Ovis aries: one gene and its partners. The protein of the gene in region 2 interacts with the protein of the main gene of each other region in a biochemical or structural test. Links are inferred from orthologs where the notes say so. Each region holds a gene or a part of one and is shown on either strand. Other genes may lie near its edges.

Region 1 (4,149 bases), on a different chromosome or scaffold from region 2:
AATGATGGGTAATTTCAAGCTATCTACTTTAGACAATGTGTAGAAACCTGTTGTCATTAATCTCTGAACCATGAAAATGCCTTCTAGTGGGAAGTAATATGGCTATTCACATATCACATCTATCAGCTCTCTGCAGTCCAGGGACAGGGCCAAAGCCCTGTCTTAGGCACTCCAGGCTCCGCTCCAGTTATCTCTGGAACTGAAACTACTCTAAAACCCCAAGAAGTCAACAAGGACAGCTTTGCTTCAGCCTCAGTTAAAAATTCCAATTCAAAACATAGCTAGGAAGACAACCAATCTTGAATTTCACAAAGCTGAGATTCATTTTAGTAGAGACCCACAAAAATTAACTTTCTTGGTTTGAAGTCTTTACAGGGAGAATAAAAGAAAAAAAAAGAAAGAATTTGAAATGCACTGTCTTATTTCTTTTCCTAAAACAAAGTATCTCTTCTTCTAATACAGCAAGTAAACCATCAAGCTGTTGTTCAATATTAAGTAGAATCTCCCCAGAAATGGTAATTACTAGGGTCTTGTGTGCAATAACAGCTTTACCATGTGTCCCACAGCTTTGAAGACCTTCACTCTTCCAGACCCAGCCGCTATGGCCGTTGCTCACTGTCCTACAAAGTGATGTGCTGCCACTGCTAACCTCATCAGAACCACTTTCCTTGGCTCAAATACTATTCCTGCTCAGTTTTTATCTGTTACAGTGTCAGAAAGCCTAATCAGTTAGTTTGGAGATAGACTGCTTCCCCTACTGGGGCCATAACTACAGTCTCCAGCCATTTCTGGAGGCAGAGAGATAATACAAGCTTTTTGGGCTAGGGACTTCTGATATTATGATGGTACCGTGAACATGCAAGAAATATGGCGGGAACTCCACGAAGGAGGGGCAAGAGAAATGGACTGACTAGTCAGTTTTAAAAATGTGTTGAGATGCACGTATCATTACACAGAATGTCTTACTAATACTCTGGTGGAGGTCAGATCAAACTCCAGGCAGCAGTTATCACTGTACGTAATTGCTGAAGAGGCTAGAAGAACCATCAAAAAGGGGGAAAAAGTTTGAAACATGACCTGAAGGGGGTGGGAGCAGGAAAGGGAAGTCCTTAAGCACCATGAGGAAATAAACACAAGTGTGGATGGGGAGAAGTTGCTTATGAACACACACAAACCCCCATCATCACAGTTACCCGAAGAGAGCTGTGTGTCAGGAGCCCTCCCACAGTTCACTAGCCTACAGCCTAGGCTATAGGACAGACTCCGCCCCTGGCTTGCACAGGACTCTGGGTTACTTTCCTCCTCTAACTGAATCTCAGTTTCCTCAAGGGCAAAAGGAGAGGACTGAGTTATGTGAGGTTCATTCTGGTTCTTCCAGACATCAGCGCATATTTGTAATCTCAGGGATGTCAGTCAGGAACACAGTCCTTCCTGGAATCCCAAGACTGGCAGAGGTCAGTGCCCACTGACAGGCACAGTGCTCAGTTATATGAACTGTGGCCATAGTTGGAGAAAAAGCCTTCAGCAGGAGGCAAGCAAGTATGAGACTCAATGTGACCCCAAACAAGGGGAGCCTCAACTTCGACCCAATCAGAAAATGTACCTACCTGACTGCCACACTGGCTTCTCACAGTCTTGTCAATTTTGGCAATTTCTTCATCTGGATCCTGCAAAAACTAACATAAAACAACCCCCATACCCCAAGGAAACACACCAAACAGCCCAAAGACAAAAACACAGACACAGAGAAGAAAAAGAAAGCTAGTAAGGTTATGATCACCATTTCTGCCAAAAGCTCCCCACTCTTGATCCCTTATCAACAAATACATGGGTAGAACCCATTCTGGTACCCAGTTAAGATTGGGGGGGGGGCATCCTCCCCCACCTGTCTCCTTTGTACTCACAACGGCTACATTTGCCTTTCTTTTCCTGGAGCGAACAGAGACATCGGTGCCACTTTCCTCTTTCATGGTATCCGGTTCCTTCGCATCCCTGCAAAACCAGGATGGCACAGAGGTAAGAGTTCTACCCAAATCTCGGCCCACCCCTCCCCCACCACCGCACACCTTCCCCTTTCCCGCAACGGCCAGGCCACTCACCTCTCCTTTTCCCTCGGCATGGCGTTGGGCGCAGGATCAGACCTCAAGCCTGGGGGCACGAAACGGCAGTGGGGTGAGGACGGCAGCAGAGGGGTCCAGGGCCCGCCGGCCCGTCCCGAGCACCCCTCCCCCTCCCGCGCGGGCGGCGGCGGCGGGAGCCTCCCGGGCCGGTCGGGAAAATGGCCGATGGGCCCGGGGTGGCCTGTCACCCGCGGCGCCACCAGCGGCCCGCGACGCCGGGTCGGAACCCAGGGTGGGTGGGGGGGCCTCAACGCCCCCTGAAACTCTCGCCGGCCCATTGCCTCCCTGGGGACCCCCAGCTGCCTCAGTCTTCCCCTCAACACCTCCCCGGAGCCCGCTTCTGAGTCGCCCTACCGGGGCACCCCGCGCTGACGCCTCCGGGGACCCGGCGACCCGGCCTCGCCCCACCCCCACCCGGGCCCGGCCCGACCCGACCCGGGCGCTCCAGGAGTTCTCGCCCGCCGCGCAGTCCGGCAGCCCGAGGCAGGGTCCTCACCCGAAGCCGTCTCCGCGGCAGGCAGGCAGGCAGGCAGGCGGCACGAGCCGAGGCTGGAGGCAGGAGGCAGAGGCGAGCGGGAAGCCAGGAGGCGGGAGACGGCGGCGGGCCGAGCGCGCGGCGGTGGCGGGATCCGCGCCTGCCCCCTACACCGCGCTGGCGGCCGGGCCGGCTGCTCCTGCGCCCGGCTAAGAGCGGGACATTTAAAAATCCCAGCGCGCGGAACCGGCCCCCGGACCGCCCCCGCGCCCTCCCGCCACCCTCCGCTCCGCCCCGGCCGGCTCGGAGCCCCTCAGCGGCAGCCAGAGGGCTCGGCCCCGCCCAGCCACCGCCCTCAGGACCGCCCTGCGCGGCGCAGGCCCGCCCAGGCGCTCCGGCCCGCCCGGGGCGGGGCCAGCGCGGGGCGGGGCTAAGTGACAGGGCCTGCGCGCCGGAGGGGAGGGGCCCTGGGGCCGTGGCGGGGCCTGCACCGCCCAAGCTGCGGAGCCCGCGCGGGGCGGGACGCGGGGGCCGGCCGGCGCGCGCGGTGGGGCGGGGCTGCGCAGGCCGGGACGCGGGGGAGGTCTGGCGGGAGTGCGGCGGAGGGGCGGGTCGCGGGGCTCTGGGGGCGGAGCCGAGCGGCGCTGGAGCGGCAAAAAGCCGCGTGGCCGGCGCTGGTGGAATGTAAACACGGCGGGCGGCGAGGCTTCGGTCCCCGACTGAGGGGTCGGGCCACTAGACCTGACGTCCGTAGGCCTGCAGCGCGCGCGCACTGTCTCTCCTTGCACGTCTCCTCCGCCCCCGAGACGCAGGTTTCCGGGCCCTGAGTCAGGGTGGGATGTGCCCAAGGTCACAGCGCATGGTCACAGAGCCTAGAACCAGGGCTTCAGGCCGCCAGATCGGGGCCGCCTGTGGAACAGCTGTTACTCCTGGACGTGCGTCCATCCATCTGTCCATGCTCATTCAGCTAATACTCTAGCACCTTTACCTTCCATGTGTGCCTTTCGCCATAGATTTTCCCCTGAGCATCGGAAGACCTCTTTGATGCTGGGATTCCATGCGGCCCTCTTTACCTTAAGCATCAAAGCCACACTCCATGCCCTACAGAACTCCACGTGGACCTACCCTCACCCCCTCTCAGACCTTTCCTTCAACTGCCTCCCATCAGAGCTCCTCTGGCCATCCTCTGTCCTTTCTTATCTCGGGACCTTGGATTTTGTTGTCCCTAGCTCCGGCTCCTTCCAGCTACATCTTTCCTGAGAATTTCCAGGTCTTCCCCAGGAGTTCCTCTCCACCACATTGCCCTGCTGTGGCTCCTGCACAGCACTTGCTGCCATATGTTTCTTGTCCGTGTTTGGTTCTCTTCTCCCTGCCTTGTCTGTCTTGTTCACTGCTGTATCCCCCAGCTCTTGGCATAGTGCCTGGAGGAAGGGAGGCACTTCAATCTTACTTGTGAAGGAATGCTTGGAACACATGGTGACCAAGCCCTTGTGGATTTTACAGGCTAAGGAGACAAGTATTGAACTATCATCACTTGAAAATACCTACTGTACT
Region 2 (3,560 bases):
CCCAGTGCATGTTCTCAGAAGCTTCTATCAGAAACGCGAATTTTTTCATGACCAGTGGCCTCAAACTAGATGCAGAAACAATTTTTAAAAAAGCACAATGAACGTATTATTGTCAGACCATCTGGCCACACTTAGGAGCTACATATTATGAATGATTCGATATGGACTACCATTGGAGTTTTACTTCCCAACGGGAAGGTGAAACTACTGATGTGGTTTATGATACAAGGTGTGCTTATCAACATCTACGGCACGGAAAGAGCTAGAGATAACTCTCATGATACTTCAAAGTAAGTTCCATTAAACTGTATGTAAAATAAAAATTTCACTTACAGGAACCTAATGCTAGGTAGGAACTGTGCCAACAGATAATTAATCTAGAATTAGAAGTGGTGGCATTTTGATAACCAAAGCAAACTATCTATGGTACTCTTCTCCAGCTTCCCAGCTAGACCAGAAGTCAACAAACATCTACCAATTCCCAGATCGATTTAAAGTTCCTACCTATTTTCTCAATCTAAGGGGTTTATTTAAATGAGGCTGTTATATTCATTAAGGTTCTGAACACATCACAAAACATACAGACAACTGCAGCCAATTCCCTCTCCTCCAAATTAATAACCTTTTCTAAGTTAACAGCCATCTTTATTTTATGTCAATATTTCATGACATAGACAGAATCCCATGAAGAAACAAATACTCCAAGGACAGAACTGTGAGCCCTAGGACCATGTACTAATTTGCTGATCACTAGTGGGCAGTAATTGGTAAACAAGCTATGTAAGTATTACTAATAGCAAATACAGCTGACCCTTGCACAACATGGGTTTGAACTGGGAGAGTCCACTACACTTAAAAATTTCTTTCGCTCAATACCTACTATGTTACTACACAGTCCCAGGTTGGCTGAACTCTTGGATGTGGAACTGCAGACACTGAGGGCCAAGTTATGCAAGGATTTTTGACTGGAGTGGTGGTGGAGGGTAGTGTCTCTACACTGTTCAAGAGTCAACTGTATTTTTTAATGTCTTTCAGGAAACAAAACAAGACCTATTTTTTAAACCTGCTAATAATCTAGTTATTTATGTCAAAATATGGCAATCTATTCTAGGATATCAGGTTCAAACAAAAACAAACCAAAAATGTTTAAGACAAATTTCCTTCTTTATGACCACAACCCAGCAGCCCTGTGGCAGCAGAGCAGCTTTGTGCCCAAAGCTCCACTTCCACTTTGAATGGGGGCAGAATCACAATTACATGGTCCGTCAACTTCCAGCTATCAAGGCAACGGGGCAGCTTCTGGCCAAATTAATCCTGTGCTAAGGAGTTTATTAAAATCCAGGCTATTTTCCTATGAGACTATCTCCCCATTAACAGGAAAATTTAGAGCCCCAAAATCTCAGGTTCCAAGACCAATATTTATATTTTAGAGGAAGATGACTCACAGAAAAATGGAAACAAATCATTTAAATAATTTCAACATGTATGCTTTCTTCGTGCCAATTTTAAAGTAAATGTAAACAGCAGAATAATTCATCTGTTTTGGACTGTACTGGATCAGCAGTCTGAAGTGATTATGGACTAAGACAGTATTATGACTGGTTACAAGAGCGCCACAGGAGCGAGCGCGCGCAGCCTCTTACCTGCAGTGAGTAGACCCTGTTGGTGTGGCCCTGCAGCGTATGCAGACAGGTCTCTGTCTCTGGGTCCCACACCTTCACCATGAAGTCATACGCTCCGCTCACAACCCTCCTGCCATCATACTGAACGCAGCGGACTGCTGCTACATGACCCATCAGCACGTGTAAACACTGGCCTGTCTCAATGTCCCAAACCCTAAGCGTGGCATCTCGAGAACCGCTAACGACTCTGCGGGTGTAACAGGAAAAAATGTATGAGAGCTTAAAATCATGGGAAAACAATACATAAAAAGTCAGTGGCCATTAAAACTTTTCTTTTTCTTAAGCAGAAACCACCTGTTTTCAAAATAAATACATGCTATGTCAAACCTCATGTGCTATATGAACACATGAAAGTTGAGTTACTTTGCTTGGGACGGGAAGTTGGAAAGCCTTAGATTCTGCCTGTTTGGTTCCCCCACCTATGAGGGACCCAGGAGCACCTTGGCGTCCTGCGGTTTGAAAACTACTGTATTATAGCTAGATACAATGAAGATGAAGCAGAGGAAGATAAAGATAAAAAATTAGTAGAACACATGGCAAACTCAAAATACATACAAGATCTTGATTTTAGAAATAAGATGCCCGTGTGCATAGTGTGTATAAAATGTTAATAGGTAGTAACATTGATATTTTGAAAAAGTTCAATTTTTTCCTTATTCTTTCTGCCATTTCCCAAAATTTTAATATGAACACACATTACCTTTATGACTAGGGAGAAAATTCAATAGAAGTGTCTCAACGAAACAAGCCAGAATTTGGAATTTAAACTGCTAAAGATATGTGCTTTATATCATGTACTCTGGTTAAAATAACCAGTTTTAAATAGGTCCTCAAACAAAGGTTGCTTGTGCTTATATTTTAAAATATTCAATAGGCTACGAGGGCATTAAGATATAGAGATTTTTAGAAGATACACATGTAGAGGCAACAGAAATCCCTTAAAATTTTGACCCAAGATTATTAAAGTGATACTCTTCCATAAACAAGAGTGATACAAATACTGTAATCACCTTTGGATTACAAAGGAGAGCTGAAAACTCAGGTGTCTTTAATGTTATTCCTAAGAGATAAAGAAAGACCACTTTCCATGTTTGGAAGAGTAGAAAATGGAAGCATTGAGACATTTAAGTCAGAACATACTGAAAACTGAATTGCAAGGTCTCTTGATACTAACTCCCCCAGTTTTAACAGTAGAGCACACTGTTCAAAGCAGATTCAAGTCACAAGTGAAAAAGGTACTTTTCTTGATGTATTACAAATCTTGAGTGAAATATGTCTAATGAAATGGTTCTTAATAAAGAATGCCATGGACAGAATGAACAGTAAAAACTGGAGTGGATTCACTGTAAGGACGCTTCAGAGAGACTTTTTCTGACAAAATAGGTAAGAAATCACATCTGTTTAACAGGAGTACCATGAAGACACGCCACTGGAAAACAAAAAGGACTTTTAATAGGAGGGCTCTGTAGCAGGAAATAAAAGCAACAGCAAAGATACTGAGAAGAAAAAGGCTAGCATTGGCTGAAACTATTCTGAAAACTGGATTTCTTCCTTAACTCAGGGTGCAACAGAAGGCTCCCAAAGGCTCGTGGTCCTACCATAATCAGAGGAGGTTCTCTGCCAGCTGTGTGCAAGGTGACCAAATATGAAAGCTCAGTCACCAGTTCAGGTGACAGGTAATGGCAATGAGTTAAAACCTCGCTCAGCTTTTGCCTGGACACAGGGGAGACAATGGAGAGGGGAAGGGTGCTGGGTGGGTAACTAGAGAGACTCAGAGGCTTGAAGCCTGAATAACTGAATTTGTCCTCCCACCAAAAATATATCCTCCTACCTCAAATATTTTTTTTAACATGATGAGTCATCAAAGATTTAGGACAA
Region 3 (4,120 bases), on a different chromosome or scaffold from region 2:
AATGTTTTCATCCAGTGAGGTGACCACCAGGCAGAAGGTAGCTCCCAATTGCCAGCCCACCCGCCTCCCTGGACTGCCCGCAGCTCTCCCCATCCCCCTCACAGGTGCGAGGGCTGGAACTCAGCGGGGCTCATGGGCAGCCCACCTATGGCCTCACCCCAGCTTTCCAGGGCAGCCACTGCAGCCTGGAGAGAGCACACGGCCATACCGGGAGGGCCTCTGCTTCCTGCCACCTGGGCACCCAAGGCAGGAGAGGGATGGAGAGGTGCCGTGTCCAGGGGGAGAGGCCTCTCCCAGGCTCTGCCCTCAGGACCTCTGGACGTGAGGATGAGGCAGGAGTGCCATGTGGGGGCCGAGTGTGTCCAGGGCATGGGGAGGGCCTGAAGGGAGGACAGGACTTACCACGGGAGGGCGGGCCCGGCCCACCTGACAGGTCTCAAACACCACGCTGAGACAAGGGACTGTATCTTGGGGTTCTGGGGAGCCATGGTGGTTAGGGAGCTGAGCAGGTATATGCTGTGGCCAGAGCAGGGCTGTAAGCCATCTTGAGCTTGTTTTCTACGGAAGGCCCATGCTTGGCAGCACCAGGGAGAGAACTGGGCATGAGAGACTGTGGGGAGTGGCCTGGTGGGGGGCAGGTTGGCCCCCATGTACCTCTTTTAGCAGGCTGGCCTGGAGCCCAGGAAGCCAGGTCCCTGTTGATTTAGGGACTGGACCGAAGGCAAACACCCGGACTTCAAAGACACAATGAATTGGGAAGCCCAGGCAGAGGTGACTTCCAGCTATGCACCAGAGGCTCAGGCCACTCCTTGACCAGGCCCACCTGACCAGCAGCCTCCTCCAATCGCCTCTTCGTCACTGAGCAACACAGTGCAGTGTATGAACCAGCGGGAAGTAAGGCCCTCCACGGCATCAACACAATCCCAGCACTCATGCAAGGCGGCTCCCACATACCCTCTCTCATGGCCACAAGGGACCCCAAAACAAAAACAGGAAAAGGAGGCTGGGAGCACGCGGATCTACCCGGAGTTGTCGTGCAGTGCAGCCAGGGCCTGGCCTGCAGCACAGGACTTGGGGCTCCTAGTGAGGGCGCTGGTCACATGACGGAGTCTGGCCGAGCCACATGCCCAGGCTGGGTGGGGCTCAGGGACATGGGCGGACTCTTTGATGCCAGTCCTCCGTCTCATAAGTCAAAGGCTCTGGGCTAGGATGGGGAGGTGGCCGTGTGACCTATGACCCCGTTTCGACCCACTCCCAAGCCTCCAGCATACCTCCATATAGAGCAGCCTCCTGAGTCCCCTGCTCTATGGCGTCATACACACACACACACACACACACTCACAATAGCGTTTAAGAGTGTGGCCTCTGGAGCTCCCATCCTGGGTTTGAATTCTGGCTCTACCATGCTCTGCTGTGTGACCTGGGACAAGTCACTTAACATCCCACTGCCTCTGGGATGCAGCTCAGCTCTCAGCCCTGAGTCAACGCTGCCTGGCCCTCCTCTCAACTCCCCTCCAGGGGACCTGGCAACTCTTGCGCCCTACGAGCTGGGTTCCCAGCGAGCCAACCAAAGAGTGGTTGGCTCAGATGTGTCCATTTTGCTAACCCTAGGGCGGGCATAGGCTCCATGGATGAGTCCATCCAGGCTGTGGGAGGTTTGGGTCCTGTGCTCAGGGCCTGTTATCCCCATCAACCAAGTGCAAGGTAGCCAACGTGGCTGAAACTGCATAGGAACCTCGGAGGCAACTTGTGGAGGCTGGAATGTGCTCTGTGCACCGTGGGCAACAGCCTCCTGACTGGCCCCGCTGCAGCTTCGCCCCCAACACTCTCTTTGTAGAACAACCAGAGCAGTGCTTCCAGGTGTGTGAGAAAGCCCGCGCTGCTGCTCCCGCCTTTTCCTGCCAAGTCCTCTTCCACCCACCTGCCCAGTCTCACCTGTGTCCCTCCAACTCCTCGCCGTGCCCTCCGTGGGGAAGACATCCTTATCGGGACTGAGCTCAGGTCCCACCCCACCGCCCTATCCGAAGCAGTCGCCCTGCCCCAGCCCCACCACAAGGTGTAAATATCTGTTTATGGGTTTCCTTAGGGTGGGTTTGTGCTTCCAAGGAAAGGGGGAGCCCAGGTCTATGAACCTCTGGTGCCTAGAACCGGGCCTGGCATTCAGTAGACGCTCGATAAACGTGTGCCGAACCGATACCGGGAGCCAGCTAGGAGAATCAGGCCCTGGTCTGTCAGGGTCCGCGGGACCGCGGCGCGCATGCGCAGGAGCGCGAGCGCGGAGCTGAACTCTCGGGCCGGAGGGAACGACCGAGAGTAACCTCCCGCTGACGTCAAGGCCGGGGCGGGGCGGGGCCTCGGCGATGCCGGCTGCCCCGCTCTCGCCACTGCCGCCTCCCGACTGAGGACTCGCTGGCCGCGGGGTGCGGGCCGAAGCGCCCAGAGGCGCACGTGCTCAGCGCCGAGCCTCCTACAGGACCCGGTGGGCACGGGCAGCTCCGCGGGGACAGAACCGCGAGGCCCGCAGCCCTCGGCGCAGAGACGCGGAGAGCTCCGCACAGAGGCCGCGCCCCCGACCCCCTCCGCGCCCCGCGCCCGGCGCCGCCCGCGCGCGGAGCCCAGTGGCCCTGACCCACCTTCTATGTCGGTCAGCAGCGCCGCGTCCAGCTCGCACGGCTCGGCCAGCGCCAGCTCCAAGGCCGCTTCGTTGAAGGGTGGCTCGTCCATGGCGCAGTCACCTCCTCTCGGAGGTCCGCCGGGCCCGCCGCAGCAGCTCCGCGCGTTCGCGTCCCGCCCGGAACTCGGTGGTGCCCAGCGCCCGCGAAAAGTTCCTCGGAAACTGGGTTCCCGGCGGCGGTTCTGCGGGGCAGGCGGGGCGGGGCGGAGACTTGCAGGAGCCCCGCCCCCGGGTGGACGGTCCCGCCCAACCTGAGGAGCGTCAGGCGGCTCCGGTCCGGCCTGCGCACCCGTCCCCTGGCCGTTCCATCCCCGCGCGGACTGCTGCGGGGCTCCCGCAGGCCCCGGCTTCTCCCGCCCTGAGCAAGGGGGCTGAGTGGAAGCCCCGGGTTGGGTCCGTCCCAGATGTCGCTGAACTTGGGGCAGGAAGTGACCCGACAAACCTCATTCCGAGATTTGGGCCTTTAGAAGACAGACTAGTCCAAGACCTGCTGTGTGCCCTCTGGCCAGTTACCTCACCACACTGTTCCTCAGTTTCATCAGCTGTAACGGGGCTTGATGGTGTCTCCGCATAGGCTGACTGGGACGTTAGTAACAGTGGCCGGCTGGGCCTGTGAGATGAGCCTGCCCCTCCTTCTTTAGATCTTCTGAAAAGCCTGGAAGAGGCTAGAATTTCCCACTCTTTCTCTGGTTTCCTCCCAGATCCAGCTGTGGGACTGACAGAAGGGCTGGGGGTTAGTGGGCCCAGTCTGGCTGCTGAAGGTGGGCTGGCCTCTGCACCCAGAGTTTAGGATCTCACCAGCACAAGCTCACTCAGCCACCTGGAACTGTACCAGGACTGGACCCCGTCCCCAGAGCAGCTGGGATGAGGTAGGGGCAGTCTGTGCTTTGGGCCTGGGACCCCTTGCCCTGGATCAGGACAGGCTCGAGCAGGTCAGAGGAGACAGCTAGGCTGGGGAGAGGGCTGGACCAGGACGCTGGGTCCTGTGGGTTGGGGGCAGAGCTAGGTGCCAAGGGAGGGTCCTAATGAGGTGGACTGAGATACTAATATGCAGGTGCTGGAAGTGTGGAAGCAGTGAGCAGAAGCACCCTTGGTAGGGGGCAGCCAAGGAGCCTTATTAGAGGTCTGGACCCCCACCTCCACCCCGACTCCTCAGTGAATCCAGCCATCCTGAGTACTGCTTTGCTCAGATTCCAGATATAGCCTGTCTGACCACACCCTCTGACAGAGTGACATTTATGGCGCACTTTGGAAGGGGGGTGTTGCCCAGGCCAAGAGAGGCCTTGGAGGCCCAAGTCCCTGGGGCTCAGACTGGACACGCAGGGTTCTTTGTTCCCCTCCCGGAAGTGGCTACGGTGGAAAATTACCCAGAACAGAGATGGCCAGGTCCCGGGGGACCTCCAAACCACATCTGTTTCCCAAGTGGTCCTGCCCAGGGACCCTTGG
Region 4 (4,279 bases), on a different chromosome or scaffold from region 2:
TAACACTTTATGTGTATATTAGTTTTTAAAATCTACACACTGAAAAGAGATCCATATCCTTTGATAGATTCACTCCTTGAGGAGAACATTTTCCTAAGAACACTTTTTTTTTTTTTTTTGTAAAAGCTGCTTTACGGTGAAGTGATGATGAAGATGTAAAAATGTCTAATGGTATATAGTATGCTGTCAACATATGTACATATGTAGTAATATTCCAGGCATTTTTATTGCAGTGTAGTGTTATGGCTTCCCAATAAGCCAGATAAAAATCATGTACAAGAATATTAAGGATTAAGGAAAGTGGTTTCCTTAGGTGATTGCTGGCAAAATTCACCTTCCCCCTATAACACAGTAAATGGACAGTGACATATTTTCGCTCTTACTTTCCGATAAGTTTGGATTTCCAGTTTTCAGAGCTGCTGCGTGTCTAATGTTTGTGACTTTCTTTGATTGTCTTTTCGTAGGAGTAGGTGCAACGGTGTAAGGTAAATGTGCTACGTTTCTGTTTTGCAAACATTAAACTCCACTTTTTGAACACACAGTGGTAGCAAAAATAAGTAAAGATGTAATGTCTATTTAAATACATTTCATTTAATCGTTGGTGCTTAAATTAGATTGCATGCTTTGGTTAGAGTCAACAGTGTAAATATTAAAAACTTCAAAATTCATGTGTCCCATCTCCCTCTTCTCCATACCAGGTACGAGGTTGAAATGTGTGTGAAAACTCCTACCCATTTAAATACTGCAAGGGAAAAAAACAAGCTTTTATGCAAGGACTTAAAAAAAAAAATACCTGCCATTAAACCTTTTATTCAGGGCATTTCAAATTTGCTTTGCTAAAGGGATTTATTCACTGCTAAAGATACACAGAGACAAGAGCTGTTTTTAAATGTTTATCACACCGCCCCTAGTTTTGCGCTAAAGAAAAGTACATTTTGTATTTTTAAAAATACACGCTCATTAAACAAAACTCCAAAACCTTAGCGCCCCCACCTAGCTGCCTTCCAGGTTTCAACTTGCGAGTTTCAGGTCCTTGCACAACACCTAAGGCGTGCAAAACTCTTTTTCTCGCTAATCCTGGCAGAGAACAGTCCGAAGAGATCTCCCTCCACGTCTCCACCCGAATTCCCTCTCTTCCCCAGATTCCACTCGCTTCTCTTTTTCCCTCCGCCCCCGTCTCCGCCAGCCCAATCTGTCAGAGAGGTTGTGTACAAACTGCGCGGCCGCCCTGCGCGCGAAGCTCGTGGCCCGAAAGGGGTGCGGTCCGCCTGGCGGAGGCGGGGCTCTGAGCTAGCTTCTCCCTTTTCATAGGTTAGCTGCTCAGGCCCGGCCAGCTTCGGGGCCCCGAGATTTGTCGGAGCGCTGCCAGTCTGGCCGGCTGGCCCCGCCTCCCCGGAGTTGGGTAAAATAGAGGCGGGCGTCAAGTGTCAGTAGTCGTGGGGCAGGTACGCGCGCTAGCAGCTCGCTCGCGGAGACAGGCAGTGGCGGGAGCGGACTCCGGGGAGCTAGGGAGCGCGGTGGGGCGGGGCGGGAGAAAGTGGTCGCCGGGTGGACGTCGGCGTTTACGCGTGGCGGAGCGGAAGAGTTTGGCTTTTCTTGCGCGCCTTTGAAAACCGCGCCTGCTTGTGAGCTGAGGGGTCAGTCCGGAGCCAAGCTCGCCGACCCGAGCAGCGTGGGCGAGGTGGGAAGCGCGCTCGACTCGCGCCCCGCGCCCGGAACCGCCCCCCCACCCCCCACCCCCGAGTGCCCATGGCTACGCGGGTGCTGACCATGAGCGCCCGCCTGGGACCCGTGCCCCAGCCGCCGGCCCCGCAGGACGAGCCCGTGTTCGCGCAGCTCAAGCCTGTGCTGGGCGCCGCGAACCCGGCCCGCGACGCGGCGCTCTTCCCCGGCGACGAGCTGAAGCACCCGCACCACCACCCGCAGGCGCAGCCCGCGCCGCCGCAGCCGGCGCCGCCGCCCGCCGCGGGCCCGCGGCTGCCCGCCGAGGAGCTGGTCCAGGTAGGAAGAGCCGCTCCCCTCCCTCCGCCTCCCTCCGGGGCCTCGGGCGTGTCCCGCCGCTGCGGCTCGCGGGCGACAGGGGCCGCTCCAGGCTGGGGCGCGCGTCGGGGCGCACCGCGGCCCAGGGCTGGGGGGCAGCCCCGCCCTGCCCTCCTGGCCTGGTGGGGGCACCCGAAGGAGAGGATCTATGGGGAGTCTGCCCTGGGTGCTCTGTCCGGGAAAGGTTCAGGAGGGAACTGGTGCTCTCGCGCACCTTGTTTTTCTACCATTTGGGGGATGAAAGCTCGTTCCTCACGCCGGACCTCAATTCCATGCGTCCCCTAAATCCGCCGCCTCCCGCTGCCCTGGCCTTGGAGGTCACCCGCTGTCCCGATCCACGGCGTCCCGGATTCAGTGGGAACGCAAATTGGGGTGTGTGGGGGGGAGTGCTGGGGGGAGGCCCCTCGGGGTGCTAGTTTAATATCGCTTGGAGCAACCTGCTTTAGACCGCGATCTTAGGGCTCCTTTGGGAAACGGGAGTTAGAAAAGCTAAGGTGGTGTTGGAGCGCTTATTTTTCCTTAGAAAAGAAAGGAAAAAAAGGACCGGGAGGTGTTGTTTTCTTCATCTGCGCGTAAATTTCCTCCCGGAGCCGCGTTGAAAGCTGGCAGTTGGCTTTTACACTTGCCCGGCAGCCGAATTAGAGCAACCGCCTGTTTCTTTCGCCCACGCAGGGAGTCATATAGCCCAGAAAAAACTTCCCGGGACTTTTAGCCTGTCCCAGGGAAAAAAAAAAATTGGAAACATACCCACATGCAAACAGCTGGAAGAGCTAAAATCAGAAACCACTAACCACCATGGGAGTAAAGCGCACGAAAGGGTTTAGTTCGGTTTATTTCAAGACGCCTCATTTAATACCCCCTTGGTATACTGTGTATTTGCTATAGCAAGCTCCTGCTCCGGGGGTCTATGAGTGTCACCGTGCTGTGCAAGGGCAGTGGCATTTATCAGAGATGTGACTCACAAGAACAGCGCGATTTTATTTTTAAATCGTCTCTTTGCGGGAAACCCGAATCTATATCCACACAAAATGATTCGGGATCTGATAGCTGAAATTAAGTAGTAGCAAAAAAAAAAAAAAAAAAGACTGTTATTCACTTTTTAAAATGCCACGGTTAATAGTTCTGTGAGCATCTAGTTGGGGGTGTTGTTTCCTATGTGTGTGTTTCTGTTGAAATTTCCTTTCAGTGCTAAAAATTTTAGAAGTTTGTTATACTAGGGAAGATGATAGCTGCAAAAGACTGAGGAGACCGGTTACAAGCTGGATTATGTCCTAAAGAAAAATCACCATTTTAAAACCATGTGGGCATTTGTCAGTTTGCTGCTTAGAAGACACAGGAGGATAAGGGATGACTGAGCTTTTTACAGAGTGAGGGGGAATGTAGCGTTGGCCCACTGAGAAGGACACGATAAATGTTTGGCTGATGACTGTGCTGGCTACTGGCAGCCTCTCCACCCACGGCCCCTTAGCACCACTCTACCAAAGGAATGGTTTTCCCCTAGGTAATTAAAGATCTGTTTTAGATAGGGATATGAATAGGAACATTTCATTATCATATTAACCAATTACAGAATCTGCTGATTAAAATCAACATTTAGATCAAACTGGTGGAGAAGTTGGTTTGTTCTCTCAGTGGATACTATGTTTTGCTCAAAACATTGTATTTAAGTTTCCATTGAACTGTAAACTGGAAAAGGCACTTAAATAGCCAAAGAATATGTTTTATATTAGCTATTTCGGCAATATCTACCCAAGCAAAGAAATTTTGCAATATTAACTTTAACCGTGAAGGTTTACTGAGGTTTTTTTTTCCCTTTTCAACCACTGGATTTACCTATATGACATGAATAAGATAGAGATAATTTGGCCTTATTACAATACTGTATTTTCAGTTGTAATGGAGCAGAGAATCCTGCTTGTATATGAGTGATGATAAAGTATACTTTATTATTGCATCAGAAAGGAATATTTTTTTCTCTTTGCTTCCTTTTTCTTCTTGATTTGTCTCTTTCACTTTGTCTGGGGTTGACCGGGGGCGATTTTACCAAACACTTGTTATACACAGTTTCATAAGGTTTTTGGTGAACCATTTGTTTCACAGTTGACAAACCTGATATGTTTATAAGCAACACTTAGGAGTTTGCCTTGGGTATTTTTCATAGAGATTGTTGGGAATTTTAGTAAGCACAGTTTGTTCTTCCCGAGATGATGAATTGGGCAGATTATACATGTTTCTATCT

What was found.
Region 1: of the proteins of FBXW7 (region 2) and CCNE1, one has a biochemical effect on the other in vitro, tested with the Homo sapiens proteins (18 studies listed by BioGRID and IntAct, with this or other methods). The link is inferred for Ovis aries from reciprocal best matches to the Homo sapiens genes FBXW7 and CCNE1.
Region 3: the proteins of FBXW7 (region 2) and SREBF1 form a complex in vitro, tested with the Homo sapiens proteins (3 studies listed by BioGRID, with this or other methods). The link is inferred for Ovis aries from reciprocal best matches to the Homo sapiens genes FBXW7 and SREBF1.
Region 4: the proteins of FBXW7 (region 2) and KLF5 form a complex in vitro, tested with the Homo sapiens proteins (2 studies listed by BioGRID, with this or other methods). The link is inferred for Ovis aries from reciprocal best matches to the Homo sapiens genes FBXW7 and KLF5.

The regions. Positions count from the first base shown.
Region 1 is NC_056067.1:39,910,943-39,915,091, reverse strand, and holds the start of CCNE1 (G1/S-specific cyclin-E1), read right to left. Parts: upstream 2,822-4,149; 5' UTR 2,617-2,821; intron 2,149-2,616; 5' UTR 2,120-2,148; coding exon 2,100-2,119; intron 1,993-2,099; coding exon 1,905-1,992; intron 1,677-1,904; coding exon 1,608-1,676; intron 1-1,607. UniProt on the Homo sapiens protein: Essential for the control of the cell cycle at the G1/S (start) transition.
Region 2 is NC_056070.1:5,524,523-5,528,082, reverse strand, and holds part of FBXW7 (F-box/WD repeat-containing protein 7), read right to left. Parts: intron 1,870-3,560; coding exon 1,644-1,869; intron 1-1,643. UniProt on the Homo sapiens protein: Substrate recognition component of a SCF (SKP1-CUL1-F-box protein) E3 ubiquitin-protein ligase complex which mediates the ubiquitination and subsequent proteasomal degradation of target proteins.
Region 3 is NC_056064.1:34,381,119-34,385,238, reverse strand, and holds the start of SREBF1 (sterol regulatory element-binding protein 1), read right to left. Parts: upstream 2,839-4,120; 5' UTR 2,725-2,838; coding exon 2,577-2,724; intron 1-2,576.
Region 4 is NC_056063.1:48,404,677-48,408,955, forward strand, and holds the start of KLF5 (Krueppel-like factor 5), read left to right. Parts: upstream 1-1,428; 5' UTR 1,429-1,749; coding exon 1,750-2,001; intron 2,002-4,279. UniProt on the Homo sapiens protein: Transcription factor that binds to GC box promoter elements. Activates the transcription of these genes.